2 linked regions of the Macaca fascicularis genome follow. The protein of the gene in region 2 interacts with the protein of the main gene of each other region in a pairwise test. Links are inferred from orthologs where the notes say so. Each region holds a gene or a part of one and is shown on either strand. Other genes may lie near its edges.

Region 1 (3,655 bases), on a different chromosome or scaffold from region 2:
CTCTCCTGTCTTAAGCCAACATACCAGGCTCACCACGCTATTGACTCATGGCTATGGTCTACATGTTAGTGTCCCCTAAAAATTCCTATGTTGAAACTCAATCCTCAGTGTAATGGTATCAACAGAGGAGATCTTTAGGAAGGATTGGGTTATGAGCACTCTGCCCTCATGAATGGGATTCCAGGCACTTCAGATACTGTATTTTTTGCAATTGAAGGTTGGTGGCAACCCCATGTCAAGCAAATCAGCACCATTTTTTCCGGTAGCACATGCTACTTTTTGTTTCTGTATCAGCAATTTTTTAGCAATAAGGTGTTTTAAACTAAGGTCCGTACATACTTTTTAGGCCTAATGTTATTACACACTTAGTAGACTACAGTATGGCATAAACGAACTGTTTATGCACCAGAAACCAAGAAGTTTATGTGACTTGCATTATTGCAATATTTGTTTTGTCTGGAACTGAACCCACAATCTCTCTGAGGTATGCCTCTGGAATCTCTGTAAAAAAGAGGTCTGAGGAAGCTTGTTCGTCCCTTATCCCATGAGAGGACACAGCTAGAAGGTGCCATCTTTGAAGCAGGGAATAAGCTCTCACCAGACACCAAATTTCCTGATTCCTTAAGAATGGATTTCTTGCCTCCAGAACAATGAGCAATAAGTTTCTACTGTTTATAAATGACCCAGTCTCAGGTATTTGGTTGTAGCAGCTCAAAGAAGGGACTAAGACACTCACCTTCTTGCAAATTGTTTTCAATTATTATACCCCATTTGTGGAACTCACGTCGGAGTCTGGTAAACAGTCGGCTGTCATCTTCCCCTACAGTTTCCTCCCCTTGTATGAGAGCAGTGATGTCCTGATTAAAGGCATTAATTTTCTGTCAAGAAGAAAAACATCAGTATAAGCGGATAGACTTCAAATCCAAGGTCAAGGTCGTTTGGAGGCCATGCCTATGTGGAGGGTAGGGAGTCATTCTTTGCTTCCTTATGGGACACTGTGGATCAGAGGAAAGCAGAGGTTTTGGCACCAGAAAATCCTATCCCACCCCTTACTGCCTTAAGGATCTGGGCAATGATCGTGACAGAGCGGTCACAATGCAGCCTGAGCATCCCTCACTGCTGACTCCCCCCGCACACCCGCACTCCCTGCCCTGCCTCCCTCAGCCCTGTCCACCCTTTGAGTGCGACGGGCCAGATGTCTTTGGATCAGCCTCGGGGGAGTGAAGAAGGAAGTGCGTGAGGCCCAGGGCCCCTTTTCTGACCGTGACATGTGCTTCTCCGGCTCCATGTAGCTGGCAACACTCACGTCTATCAGAAAGAACATTTTTTCATTTTCATCTTCCGGTATGTCGACACCATACTTTTGTAGCTCCTCTGTTATTCCCTGGTGACTCTCCTTGATTTGATTTTCTAACAGCGGCAGAGATTTCTGAGGAAAATGGAGAGAAAATAATGGGAATTGATAAAGATGAACAGGGAACGAAAAGGAGGTCCCGGGCCTCCCTCTACATAGGAGCTGTGTGGGCCATTTGACTTCCTGGCTTCCTCTAAAAGGAAGCTTTTCCAGACCTGGGGGGCAGGGGGACACACGCTAGGGGCACTGTTTTCTGCCCAGGTCTTCCCCCTTCCCGACTCCTGCGGCAGCAGCCTCATGAGCAGCACTGAGGCACCCACTGTGCAGGGGTGCCGGGCCCTGGTAGAGCGACCCAGGGGCAGTTCCTCCTGTCGTCGAATTAGGTAAACTCTCTGGAGGGAGACTGGGGAGATCCACTTGTTTAGTAGGTTCTGAAGAAGTGGCATTTGGAGCAATTGGAGATTCAACAACTTTTATGTTGTTTGCAATCAATAAAAAGTGATCAGAGACTTATGTTTTTAACAATACGGTTGACACCATGTGCTGGCTCACACTTCCATAGCAAACATCTAAAAATGCCGGCTGACATGTGAAAGCCATACCTTTAAAATGTATCGGTGGGCTGACAAGCTAGTGAGGGGTACTCAGATGCCAGCCCCAGTAACAGTGACGAAGGAGGGGCTCAAGAAGGAGGCAGCAATGGAGCCTATCTCAGCCGCAAGGGCATCTGTCTAGGTAAGAAAACTTAAACGTAAACCTACGAGCCTGACTTGGTACAATGGCAAAAAAAAAAAACCCCATGGGCTTGCTTGAGGTGGGGAATCTAATAAGGAACCATCCCTTTTCTGCATACAATGGGACCCCAAAGAGCTCTGCACTCATCACAGTCAGCTAGAAAACAAACCCATTCTGCACCCACATTCCTGGGGACCACGGGGAAGACCTTGCACTCTGGTGCTGAGTTGAAAATTTGAAAAAGGCCAGCCTGGCCAACATGGCGAAACCCTGACTCTATTAAAAATACAAAAATTAGCTGGGCATGGTGGTGTGCACCTGTAATCCCAGCTACTCAGAAGGCCGAGGTATGAGAATGGCTTGAACCCAGGAGGCAGAGGTTGCAGTGAGCCAAGATCACACCACCGCACTCCAGCCTGGGCAATAGAGAGACTCTGTCTCAAAAAAAAAAAAAAAAAGAAAAAGAAAATTTGAAAAAGGAAGAGACTACATTCAGGCAGATTTTTAAAAAGAACCACAGAGCTTTTACAAAGCTTTTAGAAGTTAAAAAATACGTTCGTTAGAATGACTAAGACATTATAATAGTGGTTGTCAATGGGAAAGGAAGAGTTAGTAGCTTGTGCATAAGATTTTCATTTTTATTTTGGCCCAGTCGAGATAGTCTGTCAGCATCCCCCCAGACTGTGGTCCCCTGAAAAGCAGTATCCGCATCGTCTGGGAGCTTGCTGGAAATGCAGAATCCTAGCCCGCACTCCAGACCCACAGAATCTGAATCTGCATCTTAACAAGATCCTCAGAAGATCTGTGTGTACAGCGATGTTTAAGCAGCCAGCAAGGTTCAGCTGTGTTCGTAGTATTCTTTTCAGAGAACCCACAGCTCTGCCCGTGCTTACACAGATGTGTGCGATAAGCTCGCTGGTAAGTTTCTCTGCCAGGCAGGGAATCGTGGCCTTGCCTTCCTCCAGCAGATCCCTAGAAGAGAACACAAGAATGATTTCCACCTTGATGTAGCCAGAACACGCATGTCTGCCTTCTGCTGTTGGGAAAAGTCAAGGTGAATTTCAGTTGTTTACAACTGGATGGAATGTCTTGCAATTGGTACCCAACAAATACTCAGAATTGGATTGAATAGGATTATGACTGAATTTTAGCAATCTAGGATATTTCAACAATGATATGGAATAAGCCCTTCCAGCTGATATAATAAATGTGTATCATGGTATTTGACTCTAGACTTGGTCATCACAAAAATACACAGGCATGTATAGACACGTTTATGTAACACATACCCCCTTCTATGTGTAATATGTGTAGGTAACCATAATGGATAGAGACATATCTTCATACGAATACATTGAAGCATCCTGAGATAAATGGGTAGCAGAACACTGAGGAGCAGAGACACAAGATATCTTGTCCAAGATAAAAACTTAAACCATGGGCTGCCTGGAGGAAGGAAGTCAAGCATCTTCTCACCCGATCCAAAACTTGTGCTCCCAGGGTATTATTACAGGGTTTCCCACATTTTATAGGACATTTTAGGATAAAGGAAGCAGCGAAGCATGA
Region 2 (3,655 bases):
CTATGTTCTTAAAAACTTGATTTTAAATGTATGTATGTTTAGAAAGAAAGAGAATGCTGGAAGCTATTAAATTTTTCAGAAAACATGGTTTTCTAAAAGATTTAAAACAAATGAACCACTGGCAAAAATAATCATTTAGGAAACTAAGTTCTGTGACAAATGTAGCCACTTCATTTACAGAAAAAGTCTTAATAATGTTAAAGAATCTGTAAAAACAGAGCCTTAAAATATACTCAGTCTAAATAAACCCTGAAGACTAATTACATAAAATCTTTTTTCAATAAATATTTTTCACATTCACTAAGCATTCCCCTGCAACAAATATTTATTGAGCCAATAAACTTCCACAGATTACTTTCTGGTGAGATCTTTTTATGCATATTCAAATTGGTCTGTTTTTAATTCTATAACAATGAGATACTGAAAATCTATTTACATACCACTAAGCAATTCTACACCACCTATTCATTTGGTGACTTTCTGTGAATACATACCACAAACAGCAGATTTATTCATGGAAACTGGCATTCAAATCAAATTATCCGTCAATTATTGTTATTTGTGACAGTTATGTTCTATAAAATCACCACAAACACTGAATTTGTGAATATATAATTGCTGCTACTAGGGGAAGTATAAGGTTAGGTTCCTGCAAGCCCCTGGTCACAACGTTTTCATCAACTGATCAATACATAACACATATGTACACATACATATATGTACACATACAGACCATATATAGAGATATAGATAGATACAGATATGGCCTTTAATTTAAAATGGGAGATAGATATATATATATATCAGACAGACAAGAAAAGATGCTTATGATATATTATTAAGGGGAAAAAAGGGAAGTTAAACAATACTATGTATATGATTCCTTCTGTAAAAAAACAAGAAACAACTTGCTTGTACTATATATGCATACACACTAAACAGCTAACAAGGAAGGGACTTTGGCAATTCCATTTTTTACAATGAGCATGTATCAGTTTTATAAGCATACAGTAGATTCTCAAAAAATGTTTTCTTATTATGGCCACTTAAAAAATGAAATAATGTGATACAAAACTCATGTTGTTTCAAATGATTCCTATAATCTTCATGTACTCAGGTAAATTCTGCTACATATAATTAAGAACAAACACCTCATATTTCAAAGATAGAATTTCAGTAAAACATTTTCAAAATGTTCTCAAAAATTCGCAAAAAATGTTCTCAACACTTGCCAATCCCCCAAACTGAAACATTCAATGATTTGTAACAGGGATTCACAAGCTTTCACTATACGGGTAAATATTTTGCGCTTTGCGGGCACAGATGGTCTCTGTACATATTCTTTGTTTTTCTTTCTTTCTTTTTTTTTTTTTAATAACTCTTTAGGAATATTTTTCAGATTTCTTAGCTCAGAATCACACAAAAACAGGTCACAGACTGGATTTAGCTTGCCAGCCATAGTATGCCAACAAACCAGCATTTAGAAGTCTGATATTTTAAATATATTACACCAAAGGCGTCAGAGGTCACAACAGTTGAGTTTTATTCTACATTAAGTAAATAAGGTAGCATTATACCAATTAAAATTACAAGTTAATATATTGAATTCTATATGCTAGACTACAAATCAAATGATGTAACAACACAGCAAAATAAATTTCAAGCATTTATATTATATAACTGTAATCAAGAGTGTGCATGTGCATGCTTATAAAGCATGCACTTCTCCACTTGAAAAAAATCAGCTGAAATTTAACTACCACACACATCAAAGCTCAAGTCTCCTTTTACAATCATTAAAACCATTCACTCATTTAAATAATCAAAACTAGTAAGTGACTTGTTTTAGAGATCATCAATCCCTGAAAATTAAGAACTAATCAGAGACTTGTAGTGACTTACTCGCTTTTAATTTTCTAATTTATAAGAGATATTGTAAAATAGTAATCAATCTTCTAAAAGACTCCTCTTTGGAAGTTTATATTCTTGAAACTTTTTAATATTTACTGTGTCAGTAACCATCAATATACTACCTTTTTTCCTCTGAAAGATAGCTTTTATATATTTGATTTTATCTAAATTTGAAAGATCTTCATTATTATCCAGCTGTTACTATCAAATGAAAATTTCATTATGAATAATAAACTGGGTCAAAGTAAAAGTCTAAAATGAAAATTCATCCTGCAAAAGTAACCAAATACCATCATACAATAATCTTACCTAGACTGGTGGGTTTTATCAGTTCATCCAGTAAATCATAAAATGGTAATTTTTGAAGTTTTATATCCGGATGGACTGGGTGAAGAGCTGATGTAAGATGTGGGAGTTCCAGTTCATGTTTAGGTCCCAGAAGAGAAACAGGGAGTAATGGCGATGATGCAGGGTGACCATCGTAAGTGAGCTGTGGAATGGTAGATGGAGACAAAGTTGCTGGCATAGGACTTGAATGTACGTTGGGGATGGACAAGTCTGCAGGCGTCATGATTTTCTGCGGGAACCGCCGCCTATAGAGTTCCTTAATTTTCATTTGTACAGCAGGACTACAGCCAGCCTTTAGCAAATGCAGGGCTTTTGTGAGAAGTTCGTGTTTGCGTCCGTGCTTGTTCCTCCCAGCGTAGCCCAACAGTACTTGGAGTTCAGAAACTCTAAGGCTCATAACCATTTGCTTAGAGAAAAAACAAAATGTAAAACATTAGTATTCCAATAACATAATTTACACTATTAAATGACACTTTATTATAACCCCCTTCCTATGGTTTACTTAAGTAAATAAATGCCAGTTCACTTATAATCCTAATTATTTCAAACTTCAAATTTAATCATTTAACATAAGTAACCAAAAAAATTTAAAATTATTATTCATAAATTGACTTCTACCCTTGGTTATAAGAGATATAGGATAAACTATACACCAGGGAAAACCACACCTCACTTTATTCCACTGTTTTGATGAAACTGTCAGGTATTTATCAAGCACTTATTGAGTCTCCAGGAGAATGTCGAATGCTATGTAGACGGTAAAACATAATGATGTGCCCTCAAGAATATTTTGTTTTCTTGGGGAAAATTATAAGTATATATGAAACAACAAACAGTCCACCTCAAACACCAGATGTAGCCAGGATATCAATAGCTATTATCAAGTGTTACATTCTATACTAACTCTGGAATTTGTAGACTTAAGTTATACCTTTTGTGACCAATTATATATCAGATACTCGATTTGATATTTTCATATGGAATGTCATAATCTTTACAACTCCCCAGGGCATTATCCTGCCTGATTTACATATGAGGAGACAAGTTCAGAAAGGTTAGATAATTTATAAAGCCATAAAGCTACTAAGGAGTACTCAGGATTCAAACCCAGATATGTCTGATTCTAAAGCCCATGCTCTTTCCACTAAACAATTAGGAAAAAGACAGAGCTGCACTCATATTACTGACTCTCACTTAACTTGCATGGCCAAGTTAGAAGTCCAGCAATCCAATTCATATGCCATAATGTATGAGGCTGCAGTAAAGAAATCTATTTAACTTTGTTTACCTATATTCACAAACTTATTTGGTCACTGTTTCTCCTTTTTCCCCACCTACTAATAGGAAATGCCCATCTAATACCAATCCTCCCATTTTAAAGTGGTGGAAAATGGAA

The links. The genes of interacting proteins can lie anywhere in the genome.
Region 1: the proteins of PIAS1 (region 2) and MX1 interact in a two-hybrid assay, tested with the Homo sapiens proteins (2 studies listed by BioGRID). The link is inferred for Macaca fascicularis from reciprocal best matches to the Homo sapiens genes PIAS1 and MX1.

What each region holds. Positions count from the first base shown.
Region 1 is NC_088377.1:5,565,422-5,569,076, forward strand, and holds part of MX1 (interferon-induced GTP-binding protein Mx1), read right to left. Parts: intron 3,062-3,655; coding exon 2,983-3,061; intron 1,430-2,982; coding exon 1,307-1,429; intron 879-1,306; coding exon 737-878; intron 1-736.
Region 2 is NC_088381.1:44,828,027-44,831,681, reverse strand, and holds part of PIAS1 (E3 SUMO-protein ligase PIAS1), read right to left. Parts: intron 2,666-3,655; coding exon 2,221-2,665; intron 1-2,220. UniProt on the Homo sapiens protein: Functions as an E3-type small ubiquitin-like modifier (SUMO) ligase, stabilizing the interaction between UBE2I and the substrate, and as a SUMO-tethering factor. Catalyzes sumoylation of various proteins, such as CEBPB, MRE11, MTA1, PTK2 and PML.